3 linked regions of the Alligator mississippiensis genome follow. The protein of the gene in region 1 interacts with the protein of each later gene in a pairwise test. Links are inferred from orthologs where the notes say so. Each region holds a gene or a part of one and is shown in the gene's direction. Other genes may lie near its edges.

What was found.
Region 2: the proteins of CRY1 (region 1) and PER1 interact in binary tests that used the Homo sapiens proteins (3 or more experiments, as listed by UniProt). The link is inferred for Alligator mississippiensis from reciprocal best matches to the Homo sapiens genes CRY1 and PER1.
Region 3: the proteins of CRY1 (region 1) and BMAL1 interact in a two-hybrid assay, tested with the Homo sapiens proteins (3 studies listed by BioGRID, with this or other methods). The link is inferred for Alligator mississippiensis from reciprocal best matches to the Homo sapiens genes CRY1 and BMAL1.

The regions. Positions count from the first base shown.
Region 1 is NC_081827.1:104,109,598-104,114,973, reverse strand, and holds the start of CRY1 (cryptochrome-1), read left to right. Parts: upstream 1-2,396; 5' UTR 2,397-2,640; coding exon 2,641-2,798; intron 2,799-5,376.
Region 2 is NC_081838.1:25,072,591-25,077,966, forward strand, and holds the start of PER1 (period circadian protein homolog 1), read left to right. Parts: upstream 1-1,991; 5' UTR 1,992-2,925; intron 2,926-5,019; 5' UTR 5,020-5,134; coding exon 5,135-5,364; intron 5,365-5,376. UniProt on the Homo sapiens protein: Transcriptional repressor which forms a core component of the circadian clock.
Region 3 is NC_081825.1:201,880,596-201,885,971, forward strand, and holds the start of BMAL1 (basic helix-loop-helix ARNT-like protein 1), read left to right. Parts: upstream 1-1,717; 5' UTR 1,718-1,736; exon of another isoform or gene 1,737-1,774; intron 1,775-1,780; exon of another isoform or gene 1,781-1,880; intron 1,881-5,376. UniProt on the Homo sapiens protein: Transcriptional activator which forms a core component of the circadian clock.

The DNA.
Region 1 (5,376 bases):
CAAGCTTCTCCACATCCTGTTTGAATTGTGGAGCCCAAAACTAGACACAGTCCTCCTGCTGCGGCCTCACCAAGGCCAAGAACAAGGGGAGAACGATGTCCTGGGATTTGCTTGAGAAGCATCTATGGATGCAAGCCAGCATTTTGCTCACTTTACTAGCTGCAGCATCACACTGAAGGCTCATGTTCATCTTGTGGTCAATGATGACCCCCAAATCCATTTAATCTGTAACACTAACCAGCGTAGCACTGCCGAGCCTATAAGCATGCTGCAGGTTTTTCCTCCCCCGGGTGGAGAACCTTGCATTTTTTGGTGTTGAACACCATCAGGTTCTTGTCTGCCTTTTTCATGAGCCTGTCAAGATCTGCTTGGATCACCCTCCTGTCCTCAGGTGTGGATGCCTTACCCCAGAGTTTGGTGTCTTCAGCGAACTTGGCCAGTCCACTTCTGACACCAATGTCTACATTATTGATGAAGACGTTAAATAGTATAGGCCCTAGGACAGATCCTTGAGCCATCATGTTGCCGTCAGCCAGTCTGTTAAGGATGGCCTCTTTGATAATCTTTTCCAAGACCTTTCCCAGGGTAGAGGTCAGGCTGATGGGCCTATAGTTTGCCAGATCCACTTTCCTCCCTTTCTTAAAGATAGGCAGCACATTGGCCTTCTTCAAATCTTCAGGCACTTCACCAGAGTGCCAGGAGTTCTAGAAGATCCGTGCCAGGGGCTGGGCTATGACACTCGCCAGCTCCTTGAGTATCCTGGGGTGTAGATTGTCAGGGCCAGCTGATGTGAAGGTGTCCGGCCTCTCAAGGTGTTCCTTCATGAGGTCAGCATTGATGGAGGGCAACGAATCTCCCTCACCCGGGCTTCCCTGACTCACAGTGGGCAGGGGTGTCCCATGGGACTGGTGAAAAACTGACGCAAAGTACCCATTTAGCAAGTTTGCTTTTTCCTGGGCACTGGTTGTCAGTTGTCTGATCTGGTTCAACAGGGGTCCAATGTTCCCTTGCTTTTCCTCCAGCTCCCCACGTATCTAAAAAAGGACTTTTTATTGTCCTTGATACTTGTAGATAGCTGGAGTTTCATGCAGCCTTGGCTTTGCTGGTCTGCTCTCTGCAGGTCTGGACCAGAGCAGAGTATTCCTCCTTGGTGGTGGATCTAGTCCTTCATCCTTTGTAGACTATTTGGAAGAAAGTTCTTGACAAACTTTCGGGCACAAACCCCCTTTGCTGAGCACAGAGAGCAGAGTCTCCCAAATCTACAGAAGCCTGAAGAAGGGTGTCTGTGCCCAAAAGATGGCAAAGAACTCCCCTCCCCCTGCAACTATTGAGTCAGTCTAATGAAAGAGATCCCATCTACCTCCCCTATCAAACCTTCACATGCTTTCTTGCCAAGCAGCTCAACCATCTCACTAGAACCGAGGACAAAAGGGTGAGCTCACAACGTGGTATGCTTTTTCTTATTATTTTTAAAAGTGCGTCAGTAATTATCTACTTATGTCCCCTACACCCGCAGCAGAGTCCCAAAGGGGGCTGCCCCCCATTTATAGTTTCTCAGGGGCTCTGCAAACGAAAAAACGTTGACAACCACGGAGCCCAACTCGCTCCTGCCTCCCTGCGCCGGCTGTGGGAACACAGCAGCACCCGGCCCTAGCCCTCCCCCGTTATTCCCGGCTGTCCCGCCCTCCCCGTGAAGGGCACGGGAACTGGGTCAGCCGGCACCAGATGTACCGGGTCCGGATTAAAGGGGGCAGGGGCAGACGGGGAAGTCTAGCTCGCGGGTTACATCGCCACGCCCCCGCACACCTTTTCTCCCCCGCACATTGGGGGAGCGAGCACGCGGAGTCGCACGCGGCCGCAGGGCTGTGCTGAGAAAGGGGCGGGGCCTGCCGCGCAATTATGTAAGCGCTTGCGTGGGCCTCACCCGCCCCGCCACGTCCGCAGAAGAGGGGGAGACTGCGCATGCGTGCAAGCCCCCCCCCTTCGATACGCATGGCATTCGCTCCACCCCCTCAACCAACCACAAGTGCCGGCGCGCCGCGGCTCTGGCGCATGGGCACAAGCAGCAGCTCCGACGCCTCGAAGCCCCGTGCTCATCCGGGCTTCTGGTAGGGGGCGGGGCCAAGCCCGAAAGCCCCCCCCTCCCTGTTTCACTCCGTTCCCTCCTTTTTCCATCCAGGAAGCTTTGCCTCGGGGGCGGTCGAGGCACGGCCTCGCTACATTGCTCGCGTCTCAGTGGCTACCGGCCCTCGGCGCCACGCCGAGCTGCCCGCCCTCTTCTCCTGCCCTCCTCCTCTTTGCTTCTCCCCCCACACTCCGGGTAGTAAACACACTCGAGAAACGTGATGGCCGGGGGTCACGTGGGGCGGCGGCAGCCAATGGGGAAGCGGGGACGGGGCTTGGCCGCCGGCGCAGATCGGGCGCACGGGTACAGGGCGAGCGGCGCGAGCTGCAGGGTCCCGCGCACACCACCAGCCGCCGCCTGCGCGTGACCGGCCGTTGTGCTGCTGAAAGAGGGGGCGGGGCTCTGCGCGAGCGACCCCCGCGCGGGGGCTGTTGCGAGGAGATGCGGCCCCTGTCGCCTGCCGCTGCCGGCGTGAGGCGCGGCCCCGTCTGAGGGGATCCCTGCCCGGGCCTGCCATGGGGGTGAACGCGGTGCACTGGTTCCGCAAGGGGCTGCGGCTGCACGACAACCCGGCGCTGCGTGAGTGCATCCAGGGCGCCGACACCGTGCGCTGCGTTTACATCCTCGACCCCTGGTTCGCGGGGTCCTCCAACGTGGGCATCAACCGGTGGCGGTGAGTGCGGGCGGGGAGGGGGCACCCTGACCCATGGCTGCTCCTCGGGCCCCGCGCGACGCTTCCTTCCCGGCCTGCGGCTCCGGGGACCGGCGGTGACATCGCCCCACTGCGCGCGCATATGTGTGTGTGCGTGTACGTGTGTGTGTGTGTGTGTGTGAGTCACTGCAGGGCCCGCTGTGCCAAAAGCGGGGAGGGGGGGATGGCAGCCCCCGGGCCGTGACAGCAGCCCACAGCACAGGAGCCTGCCCGTCCCCTGCCTCGGCCGGCGGCTGCTGATCCACCCACGTGGGGGGGGGAGGGGAAATCCCGCCGGCCGCCCGCAGAAGCGGCTTGTGGGCGCTGAGATGTGCAGCAATCGCTGCTCGGGAGCGGGTCCGCGCCTGCCCGGGGTCTCCTCGGGGCCGGAGCCGCCATCGGCCTCCCGGCGGCGGGGGGGTCGCGCATGGGCCGGGGCCGGAGCCGGGGATGCCGCAAGTCTAAATGGGGATATCTTTGCACGGACTGAGCGCGTGGACGGGTCGGGTGCGATCCCTCAGCGGCCGGGTTTGGTATTGGCAGGGGGACTTTCAGCTCTGCACTTCCTGAGCCCAGCAAGGGGCAGAGCTCAGTCGGGTGGAGCAGAGACTGGCAGCCGGATCAAAGATCAAGTGAGGGAGAGAGGCAGTACAAAGCGTTACTTACATTTGTTCTGCCTCTGTGTCTTCAACAAAGTAAAATAAGATTGAGAGCCACCTCTGCACTTCCATAGCTGTCTCTAAAGGTTGGCTTGTTTTTTTTTTCCTGTTGCCCTCCTGAGGAGGGGAACTTGATGCATTGATGTTCATGCAGCTCTGTCCATGCATTGGCTCCAAGCATGGGGTTAGTTGAATACTAAAAAAAATGAGCTTCTGCAGGATTAGACATGTGGTAATAACGTTATTGCACTTCACAAAAGACAGAAGTGAAGTGCATAGAGGTGAAGGGACCTACCCAAAGTCAAATGTGTGACACAGTTGAAAGAACTTGAGGCTTCTGGATTTAGTGTCTTCAAGGATATCTTTCGCTAACAAGCTAACTTTTAAAAACATGTGGAAGTTGTAAACTTCTGCTCCCTCTGGTCATGTCTGTAGTCTTGATGGTAGAAAAATAAACCTTTCCCATGATCCTTCATTTTAATGGTTAATACACCACCAAACTAACAACTGTAAGACCTAAAGCCAGTTGTTTTTGGACACTTCCCTTAATCTAAGCAAGATCAGCTTCAGTCACTTTACAGGCATTTTTTGAGCAAGTGCTTTCTAATTGAATTACAAATCTTATGGCTTTATAAGTGATTCGGTTCTTTGAATGAAATACATGTGTTGCTGCCAGACTTTTAAAAGACAATGGTACCTTGCCTTGTAATCATCCTGTCTGTTGGCCACTGGGGCAGATTTAGAAGCAGAGGGCAAGTCAGGCTTCACAGTGCTGTACGTACCCTAAACTCTGAGGTAGTACAAACACTGTTAAGCCTTTGGATATACATAATACCCAGAAAAAGCAGATTGTGGCATACTTCTGCTTGGCAAGTTTTAGTCTCTAGGAAGTCAGCACACCAGAATCCAGTGACCCAGGACCAAGTGTTTAACTCAGTGGACTTGGCTAAAGAAAGTGTAGACTTTTTAATACTAATGCTAATGTCCTTTGGTTGTTTGACAAATGTTATAATAAATGATTCTCAAGTTGTAATATTTACATGTACCTACCAAAATTAACCTTGATGACGTAAAAAACGGGGGGGGGGGGGCAGTTTATGCGTGTACTGAAGAGATCTAAAAGGGAGAAGGTTGAAAAAGAAGCAACATTTCTTTTTATTTTAAGGAACCTTATCTACTCTACTAATCCTTCATCTTTCCAACAAACTTGTTCTATATACAGAGCAGCACCTTCTTTGAAACAGTTTGAACTTGAATGCTCATAATCCATGTGATATGCTTTGTAGTTCTGTACTATGGATTTTTTAAATTTAAGTTTCTTAAAGTAACAGCTATATCCTCCTATCAAGAGACTGCTTTTATTCGGAACAGACTTTAGTTTACCACAGTGAGTTTCATATATTTTATTTACTCAAATATAAGACAGTTTTTTCCCCCAATCAGCATGGGGAGAAAAGCCACTAGAGAAATCTCACTTACAAGGAAACTGCATTAAACACACCGTCTATCATTAAACTGCTGCTCACAGCAGCACATGCTCAGTAAACCAGATATAAAGTTGATTAAATGCAGCCAATGCTGAGCATGACTATAAAATACATGGCCTACTTTGGGTAAACACACTGATAGAATCTACTGCAAGGATAGGTTAGTGCAACTTCTCCAAATCAGATGTGTGGTAGTGCCCATTGGGTGCAGTCCCCCCCAGTGCCGACTCTTTCAACTCATGATAAGCTACTGCATTGTATACATGTCAACTTCTACTTGACTCCCACACTGAGTTGTGCCTTTCTTTTCTATTTCCAATGATTTCTGTTTCTTCACCTGCCTTAAGTGTCTGGTAGACATTCCCAAATGGTTCACCCAGAATCCCTGTTGCCTCCTCTCTCATCCTCTCGTAC
Region 2 (5,376 bases), on another chromosome or scaffold:
GGGCACAGAGAACTCAGGCGTCTGGGCTCCCCACCTAGGGCTGTGGACCAGCCACTCTCACCCTGGCGAGCTGGGGGTGGGGGGAGCGGGCAGGGAGAGCTGGGACACCTGGGTTCCCAGTCCAGGTTGGTGGGTGGGAGTTGGGACCCCTGGGGGAGTGGGGGGCTGGGGCCTGGATGCCTGAGGGGGCGGGGAGGGCAGTTGGGGGAGGTCCTGGCTGCCTGCCCTGGGGAGGAAGTCGGGGCCAGGACTCCTGAGTCCCTGGAGTTGGGGGCCTAGGTCGCGCGGGGGGAGGGGGTGTGATGAGGCCTGGACACCTGGATCGTGCGCGTCGGGGGAGCTGGTGCCCGGGCTAGGGGGAGGGGGGGGGCGGACGCCTGAGCTCTCGAGTGCGGCCCGCCTCCGCCACGCGCAAACCTAGACACCCGAGGGGCCACTTCCGCCCCCAGCTTCCGCTTCCGTTTCCACCCCTGCTTCGTGGCCGCGTGAGCAGGGCCGCACGTGTCCCCACCACCTGCCCCGCGGGCCAATCGGCGGCCGGGGGCGGGGCCCCAGCGGGCCCGGGCCAATGGGCGGCGGGCTGAGGCGGGGCCTGCTCACGCGAGCTCCTGCATGCTGCTCGGCACCGGCCAATGGGGGCGAAGGGGGCGAAGCCAACGGCCGCCCCGGGATTCGGCCAATGAGCGCCGAGGGGGGAGGGGTCGGCGCGCGGTGGCGGCCAATGAGGGCGCGGGGGGATGCAGGGGGTGAAGCTAAGCTCCATATGACGGCAGGGCTACTACCTTCGGACTGAGCGGGGCCACGTGTGGGCCTCATTTCCCAGGGGACAGGGCCTCCTTACCTAGTGGGGGGCGGGGCTCCACGTGAGGGGGCGGGGCCAACCGGCGGTGGGGGGTGGGTCTCTGGGTTCCTGGACTGGAGGGGGGGCGGTGCCGGGAGCCCCGCTTACGTCACCGGGGGGCAAGGGGGCCGGCGGCTCTGACGTCATCGCTCTTCCCCCCCCGCCCCCCAGGTGTCCGGGGTCCCAGCCCCGCCGAAAACCCAGGCATCCGCGCTCCCTCCCGAGAGCCGTGGCCGGGGTGCGGGCTCAGCGCCCGGCGCTGTACGTGGCGCGTCCAGTTCCCACGGCAGCAGCGCACACAGTAGGGCAGAGGGCGCGGGCCGTGGCCTTCCACGTGCCGCCCCCCGCCCCGCCCCGCCCCGATGTTCCAGCCCTGGCTGGGACACCCTGTCCCGGCACCGCCGGCGGGGCAGGGCAGGGCAGGGCCGGCCAGGGCACGACGCCCGCCCGCGCCTCCGCTGGGCCAGCCCGCGCGACCCCTCGGCCTGCGCTGTGCCGGCCTATGTGAGCCCTGGGGCTGTGGGGCGCTGGGGGTCCTGATGTCCCCCCACACCCCGTGTCCCACATCGGGATCACGTCCCAGGTCGGGAACAAATTAGCACGCGGGGCAGGGCGCCAGGAGGGAGCGGCTGCGGTTGGCGCGGCCACGCCGGGAACACGATGTTCTTGGCACCCGCAGCGGCGGTGCGCGAACAGGCCCTGGCGCCGTGCCCGCCCGCCCGCCGCCCCGCCCCGCCCCGCCCCGCGCAGCCGCCAGCCAGGCTCGGCCGCGCACCAGGGCCCCGGCGAGGGGCCGGGCCCAGTGCTTAGAGCCGGGGAGGCGTACAGCCAAATGCTTAGAGCCGGGGGGGGGTGCACCCAGTGGTTAGAGCCGGGGGGGGGGGTGCACCCAGTGGTTAGAGCGGGGGGGGTGCACCCAGTGGTTAGAGCCGGGGGGGGGGGTGCACCCAGTGGTTAGAGCGGGGGGGGTGCAACCCAGTGGTTGGGGGGGGGTGGGTGCATCCGAGTGGTTAGAGCGGGGCGGGGGGGGGTGCAACCTGGGGGGTGGGCGAGGACCCAGCGGAAGCAGCAGCCCCCCCTCGCTGCCATGCCAACGCCTGGCATCAGCAGCAACCCCCCCCCCCCTCGTCTTTCCTCAATGACGCTGGGCTCATTGCTATGCAACCTGCCCCTCTCCCATTGGCCGCCGGCTCAGCCAATGAGGGCGGCCCCGAGACCTGGGGCGGCAGCACCACAGTCCACGTGCGGCCTGTGTAAGTGGTGCTGACATCAGCCTGGCGTTACACAACGCGGGGGCCAGCGTCGCACCCGCCGCCTGCTCGCCTCACTGCACCCGTCGCTCCCTTGGCGCAAGGACGCTCGGGCCCCGACTCCGCCACCCCCGCGCTCGTCTGAGCCCCCCGGCCCCTGCCGCGGCCCCCGAGCCAGAGGCCATCCACCGCTGAGGCCCCCGGACCTGGGGACACCGTGCCTGCCTTGTGGACCCTGCTCCGGTGCCCTGTAACAGGGCACCGTGCTGGTGCTACGTGTCCGGGACCCCTGAGGAGGCAGCCCCGCGCTCAGGGCCCCCGAGGACACCCACTCCCTCCACACCTGGGACCCCCAAAGAATCAGCTCCATTCCCATGTGACCAGGACCCCCGAGGACGCAGCTCCATCCCTGTGTGACGGGACCCCCCAGGACACACCCCCTCACAGCCGGGACCCCCGAAGAATCGGCTCCATCCCTGTGTGACGGGATCCCTGAGGAAACCCCCGCACCTGGGACTGCTGAGGACTCAGCTCCGGCCTCGTGTGACAGGCCCCTGGGGACACCTGCATCCCGGACCCCCACCTCCATCTCTGTGTGACCGGACCCCTGGGGACACAGCCCCACACCTGGGACCTCTGAGGACACCCCCCTGCCCCCAGGACACCAAGGACCATCCCCGTGTGACGGGACCCCTGAGGACATCCCGCCCACCTGGGACCCCCGAAGAATCATCTCCATCCCCGTGCACTCAGGCCCCCCCCGCGGACACTGCTCCAGCCCTGTGACCCCCGGAGAGGCAGCGCCAACCTCTGGGCCAGCCCCGAGAGCACCCCGTGAGTATCCCGGGTGCCTCAGCACCACCCCCCTTGCGCCCGCGGCGGGGGATGACACACGCCTGTTTGTTCCTGGGTACAGGATGTTCTTTCGGCGCAGACCCAGCCTTCCGCGTTGCTCTGTTTGCTGCCTGCGGTTGGGGCGGGGGAGGAGGTGGGGAGGTGGGGCGGCCGCCCAGCCCAAGGGATTGGGGCACGCTCAGGTCCTGCTGGCTGAGTTTGGGGGCTCTGCTGCCTTGCTGGGCAGGAGCCCGTCACTTTGCGGGGGGGTTTCCAGGTTGGCACCAGCAGCAGGATGTGCCCCCCCCCCGTGCTACCCAAGCTAGTGGCCTTGTCCTCTGCCTCTCATGCCTGTCTTGCTTTGTACATGCTTCTCACACGCATGTTGGGGGTGGGGGGGGGTTAGTGCTGAAGCAAGAGCCTGGCCACAGGTTGGGGCTGGCTGGCGAGTGAGCGGGGGGCGTGTAGTGGTGTGGATGCATGTGCATGGGCTTTCATGAGGCATGTCCCTGGGGTCTGGCTGCATGCAGGGAACTCCCCCCCACCCGGCTTGTGGACAGCTGGGACTCTCTGTGTATACATTGGTAGGGCCCCCTCCCCCCAGTGTCTTCGTCCATGTCAGCAGGGGTCTTGGTCTCTGTGTACACACTGGCAGGGTTCCCCCACCCCATCTGTGTGCATCAGCAGGGCCTTCTGCCCTTTGTGTACGTGCTGCAGGGGCCCCTGATCTTTGAGTATGTGTCAGCAGGGGCCCCTGGTTTCTGTGTATGCATCAGTAGGGGGCCCCAGTGTCTGTGCATGACAGGGATCCCCAGTCTCTGTGTACGGGTCAGTAGGGTCCCCCCTATATCTGTGTGCATGTCAGCAGGGGCCCACGGTGTCTGTACCTGTCAGGTGTCCCCAGTGTCTTTGTACATGTCAGCAGGCTCTCCCGCCCTTGTCTGTGTGCATGTCAGCAGGGGCCCCCCAGTCTCTGGGTCTCTGATGGCAGGGGCCCCCAGTGTCTGTGTGCATGTCAGCAGGGCCTCTGATCTCTGTGTACATCCTGGCACAGGCCCCCCAGTCTCTCGTGTTTGTGCCAGCAGGCCCCCGCCCCAGCGTCTCTGCATGTCAGCAGGGTCCCTGGTCTCTAGGTCTCTGCTGGCAGGGCCCCCCCGTCTTTGTGTATGCGCCAGCAGGACTCCCCCTGGTCTCTGCATATGATTTGGCAGGGACCCTGTAAGGCCCCCCCGTCTCGGCATCTGTGCCTGCAGGGCCCCCTCCGGTCTCCGAGCCTATGTCTTTCTGTGTGCCCGGGCCTGGAGTCACGTCTCTCCAACGGCCCCGCGTGCGTGTGCGTGGGTAGGGTCCCTGTGCACACTGTTGGCAGGGCCGGCCCCGCCCCCCCCGGTCTGTAGAGACACTGGCAGGGCCATGCCCATGTGTGTGCTGGTACCGATCCTCCTCTTCCTCCTCCTCCTGGTCCTGGCAAAAGCTGCCCCAGGGTTTTCCTGTCCCCGGCACCCTGCCAGCCCCTTCCTGCTTCGCTTCACACGCCCAGGCTGCAGGACCCAGGCCAGGCCAGTCAAAGGGGCAGGGTGGGGGCAGGGAGCTCTTGGCAGCAGGACAGGGGTGGGGGGGCAACCCCTGGGCAGAGGGCTGAGCCCCACAGGCAGTGCAGGGAGCTAACAATAGCCCGGCTTTGCGCTCAGAATAGCCATCTCGAGGGTAATTAGGGAGCTGGGGTGGGGGGAGGGGGGCACAATCCAGATGGTCCTGGCCACGTGGTGCCCACCTGGCTTAGGGCCAAGGGGCTGCACGTGCCACACCATGAGGAGGGACCGGACGCCTGGTTCTCTGGCTGCATGTGTTAAAGTGGACATGGAGGGAGGGGAGTCAAGACGCCTGGGTTTTCTTCTGGGAGGGGTCTGCGGGGTGGGGGCTGAGGGGGTTTGAGCCAGGACTCCTGGGTTCTCTGCCAGACTCCCTCCACCGTGTGGGGACTTGTTGGGCCATCCTGGGACCTGCTCCATGTACAAGCACCGCATGGGGAACAGCCGGGCACCTCTCCCAGCCTCAGTTTCCCCTGCCCTGACCCTGCTCCCTGTCTTGCAGGTGCCCCAGACTCTTGGCTTGCCTGCACCCACCCAGAGGTGACACCGCCCGCATCTCGCCCCCTGCTTTCTCCCTGTGCCGGTGGGGTGGCAATGCCCCGGGGCGCCTGTCAAACATGAGCAGCAACTGCGAGCCAGGCCAGGGCCCCTTTGAGGGCAGAGGTGTGGCAGCGGTGGGGCCGGGGACCGGGCGGCCCCGGGGCCAGGCCAACGATGACATGGACGCCAACAGCAATGGGTCCAGCGGCAACGAGTCGCATGGCGACAGCTCCCTGCGCAGCGACCACAGCAGCAGCGGCAACGGCAAGGATTCGGCCCTGATTGAGACCACTGAGAGCAACAAGAGGTACGGGGCTGC
Region 3 (5,376 bases), on another chromosome or scaffold:
TTGTCTTCCTGTCCCGCTGATGGAGAACTATTCCCTCAGCTCCCACAACAGTGGCTCTCCCCATGTCCCTATCTACAGGGCTTACTTGTATGTTGGTATATCTTTTTTTACTACTTATCCTGTTGCAGGGTTACCACTTGTATAAGATCATCCTGATTTTAACCAGGGGAATTCTGAATCCTCTTATAAGCCACTTGTAGGCAAGGTTGCAAACTCTTCAAACCAAAATCATAGAAAGCAGGCGTTGATGTTGCCATGAAAAATATGTTCTTTGTCAAGTGGAAATAACAATAATGACGCTGAGGTAATGTTGCAATTCAAATTTAGTGATGTGATGTGATGTGATGCAAATTAATGTCAGACAAACTTTTGATATAGTGATAGGATGTGGTGTGACAGGATATGCACGATAAGGTGTTGAAATGATGTACCGTTGATTATTTGGTATAACGGCACTACAGTGCAAACTGGATGTGACACAGCATGGAAATGCAACACTATTGCAACTGTCTGCCTTGCAGTGGGTCCCCTTAATGAGCCACAGTTGTGGCGATGATGCTATTGTTTTAAATGACTTGGAGCATGTTTAAATTCAGACTATGAACTGGAGCAGCGAGTGGCTTTGCGCTTTAGATGCTGTATAAATGACAACACTGCATCAGGATTAGGGTTGCCAACCCTCCTGGATTGCCCTGGAGTCTCCAAGAATTAAATATAAATCTCCAGAAGACTGCTGAGAGCCACCCGGAGATAAATAATAGGGCATTTGTTAAAATACATATTAAATGTTGAATCAGATTTATACAGCAGTCCAGTAGGTTTTTAAAATGTAATAGTAATGTGAATTTGCCCCCTGATATAAAGTCTCCACACTGTAATCTGTAATTGATATATGCAAGCAGACAGGCACATTTGCGTTGTGTGTCGCAGGCACGTTGGCATTCTGGAAAACTGCTGGGATGGATTCAAACAGAGCTGGCGACCCCAATCAGGATGCAACAACTTTTCATGACTATATGGTGGAACGATGGAGCTTCCCAGTGGCAACCAGGTGTGACACCAGGAGGCAGTGATGCTGCTCTGTCACAAGGCATCAGCCTGCCACGACCACACTGCACTGGTCTGCGGGTACGAGCTCCCCCATCACAGTGCAAGGCCATGATGGACCATTAGTGACTCCACGGTGCAGAACAGGGAGAGGTCACGGAGCTGTTATGACGTGAAAGGATGATGTAACACCCCCGGGCAAGATTATGACGTCCTGTGGCACTGCCTCGCAAGAGCAGGGAGTGGCAGCGTGACGTATTCGAACTACCCCGCGGCACGCGACGGTGACGTAGCAGGGAGGATGACATTACATCGCGCAGGGAGGCAATGACGGAGTTACCAGTGGTCATGGCAACAGTGCGTTGGACTTAAGACGCGCGGAAGGGGGGCTCCCACCATGGCGCCCCCAGGCGGGGCGGAGGGATCCATCCGGGTCCCCTCGCTCCTCAGCGTCGCGTGCGTAAACCCAGACAGCTGCTCCGCCCTCCCGGCTCCGCGAGGCGGGAGTTCAACCCCAAGAACCGTTTATGATTGGCTGTCGTTCCGCAAAGGGGGGTCCGGATTGGCCGGCGGGGGAGCGCCGAGGCCCGGCCGCGATTGGGCGCGGAGCTGGGGCAAGCGGCTTGCGCATTGGCCGAGAGGCGCGTTCGGGCTCGGGCGGGGGGGAGCAGCCATTGGCTGGAAAGTAGGTTAGTGGTGCGACGTTCGGTGGCAAGCCAGGCGGAAAGTAGGTCAGGGACGGGGGGCTGCGCTGGGTGTTGCTCACTGCATTCGGCGGGTAGCGGAGGAGGCGGGGGCCACGCGGGGCGACCACCCCCGCCCGCTCGGCCACGGTGAGGCGGGGGCTCGGAAGGGGGTCGCGCGCGGAGCGGGAGGCGGAGGGAGCAGGGGTTCCTCGAGGGCGCCTGCGGCCGTTGACCGGCCCCACGGCTGGCCGCGCTCCAGGCGCGCTAGTGTCTACGCGGGGGGAGGGGCGGACCCCGTGCGCGCAGGTGCAGCGTTCCCCCCCTTCGCCCCCTCCCCCCGTCCGAGCCCCGGGCCCGCGGATGGGCGCGGGCATAGTCCCCCTCCCTCTGGGCTGCCCCCCCCCCCACCCCGGTTCGACGGGGGGCGCTGCGGCTCTCCAAGCAAGTCGGCGATGGGCTCTGCATCCGCGCCTCGCTCGTTTGGCAGGGCCTGCTCAGCCCACCCCTCTGCTCGCCTCCTCTTGCTTGATTTATTTTATATTCTTTTAGTTTACTTTATTTGATCATTTTACTTTATTATTCTTCAGCAATTGGTCTGTGACCTGTAATGCTTTTTGGGTGTTGTGTGAACAGGTTTGAGATGGGACAGTGCTTGGGCCCCAGGCAGGACTGACACACAACCTGCCGCCCCCCCCCCCCCCTCCGTGAGAGGAGCTGTGTGGCCTGCCCAGCTTTGCTGGCGTTGGTTTTCTTGTTGTGTTTCTTTTTTTCTCTCTCTTTTTAAGAAGTGTAGCGGTGGTTAAGTACAGGCTGGATGTTGGCTGGTCAGGATCTGCCTCTCTGGCCCCTGGAGATTGCGTCTTGTCCGTTCGAACTCGTGCTGCAAACTGCGCTGTCAATTTTCTTTTCAAAGCTCTGTTCCCCTCTAGACATTATAGACTGGGTCATGGTGGGATGCTTTCAGCTCAGAACTGCATGTCCTTTGGTGGATTGGAAAGTACTTTTCCTGCCCAGGAGTCAAATTGCAAGTGTTTTGGGGTTTTTTTGTTTTTGTTTTTTGTCTCTTTGAAATCTGGCTTCCTCTTTATGCCTGGCATGTGCAAACTGGTGGTACTGGCAGCTCACAAAAGGCATTGAAAACCCAACCTTTTTTTCTGTAATGTTAAGCATTAACACCGCTTGTTTGTGTGTTTTTTAAATTGGTGTCTTTAAATGAAGTGATCCACCTCTGGAGTAAGTTTTTTAAATTAGGTTGTGTGGGAATGCAGTTGTATGAATTGAGGCAAATCAAAATAACCCTTATAAGCATCCAAAGCTGCATTTGTCAGTGAATGTCCAGAATCTCCCTACTTGTTTAAAATAGGTCTGTGCTCTTTCTTGTTCCTAAACAATTAATTGAGTATTTCTCATAACCACTAATGATTTTATGTCTGTCTGTAATGCAGTCTCCAAGTGTTGCTGCTCTAGGTTGTTATGGTGTGCTTCTACACCACTAGTACATGCTTCAGACCCTGCTGGGAATGCTCAGTATGTTCAGGGTCTGGAAAGGAGCTGCATACAGAGACTGGATAAACAAAAAGGGAGTGGAGAGGCTGGAATGACGTACGTTGCCCCCTGGAAAACCTGTGGACTGTGTCTTTTGCCTTGGGGTCTTGTGCAGCTGCAGATCCTAGGGTCAGCATTACTGTGGAAGTGCAGTACCTGCTTGCAAGTGGTATTAACTTCTCATTGACATTTGGGAATCTGCCAAGTTTGGAAGAAGCCCCATGACTCCTTAAAGGCTGAATCAAGAAGCTATCCACAGATGTACTTTAACAGAGATTTTTGCCTCATGCATCTGCCCCTGGATGTTCTTCTGTTAAGGGTTACCTGGTCAAAAGCAGTCGGGGTCCCAGACTGAAGGAAAAGCTGATGTTCCTTGGGGTAGGAGACAGGAATGCTGGACATCATGGGTTCAGTTTGACTAGGATTAAAAGTATGTTAACCACCACACCTTAATTCTAATAAGAGACGAGCTCTGTGATGATAGTACAACTTGTACTTCTTAAGTGAGTTTTGAAACATGAGGTTTTTAAATAGGCTTATGCTTTTTTTTGTTTGCAAAACCTTGCTGCATGTGTTATGACCACTAATGAGATACATTCAATAACCTGAAATATTGTCTACATGCAGAGTTTTTGCAAATTAATTAATTTTAATTAGTTAATTTAAAATGATTAGCATAACATTGAAGCTGGAAAGTAAGCACGAGTGAAGTAAAGACCTTGATTGCAGGGTTGACACTCCGTTGCTATTTCCCATATGTCATACTTTTAAATGTTACTGCATAAAGTCATGTCTTTGTCAGGAGAACTGGAGCACTGCACATGTGGCATGTTAAGCTTATGTTAGGTTTAACTTTTTGTTGTCTCTGGTTTACCTGCTTACTTGTCAGTCTTGAACATTTATTTATTTGGGTGCATTTGTATTTCCTTACAGTAAGGAGAGTAGGCAAAAGCAGGCAGCCATATTTACATGTACTTAAAAGTTTTAAAGTCACTAAGGAAGTGTCCCTAGATTGCATTCAACCCAGCCTTCTCTAGGAATCTGAGTGAATATACTGACTTAAGCCATAACTTCTTACTAATATTCAATTCTTTCTCCTCCAGTTTGGGTAGCTGCTTCTTTCTTTAAGGCCTAAATAGCTATGGACATTTTACAAGTCAATTTAAAATGTCTTTCACTTTGAGCTTGCATAATAATTATTTTTGTTAAAATTATTAACACATGAAAGGATATAGACTGAAATGCAACAGCTCAGACTGAATTCATAATTATTTAATAGTGTAGGTCATGTTCTGAGCTACTGTGGCAGGGTTACCCCTTTTAACTTAGGCCAGATTTTCTGAGCATAGTTAAGTGCTTTAGAAAAATGCCTCTGTATCTAAACCCCTCTTAAAAATCTGTCCTTGGGTCTGCTCCACTCTCGGAAGCATATACTGTCACTTTTAGACCAAATCAAAGACACTGATGGGAAGCATTGAAGGCTTTCATGTACAGCACAAGAAAAAGATGGTGTTTCCATTCTTCTCTGTGTATCTCAAGATAGTATTTGTAAGTAGTTTATGCCTGATACTTTCATGTTTGAAGTATATAATGTGAAAGGTTAGCTTTAGTGACTAGTTTCATTTTGTGACACCTAACCTTTTGAAGCTGCTGGATTCCTTCTTCAGTTCTGGAGAGTTTTTAATTATTTCAGGATTATTTGGGTTGCATGGGGGAAAAAAACAAAAGTGGGGGAGGAAGTCTTTTAAAAATCTGTCATACTTCAACATAATTGCAATTAGTACAATCATTTTCAGTGATAGTAGTATGCAACTCTGAAAAAGCTTAAAGCAATTTCAACCAGGTAGTCTGCTGGAGTCGTGCCAGATCGTTTTGAAGGGCTACTTGTAGTGTGAGCAGATAAACAGAGGCTCAGGTTGTCCTTGCCTGACCAATCCTCCACCCTTACTGCCTGGCCCCTCTGCAAGGAGGTAATGCTATACATACATTTAGGTTTTTTTAAACTGGGTGCTATTTAAATCACAAAATTGTGGAGGGGTGCCTCAAAGCCAGTGAGGGGTGCCCAAGTCCAAAAAAGTTGAGAACTACTGGTTTAAAA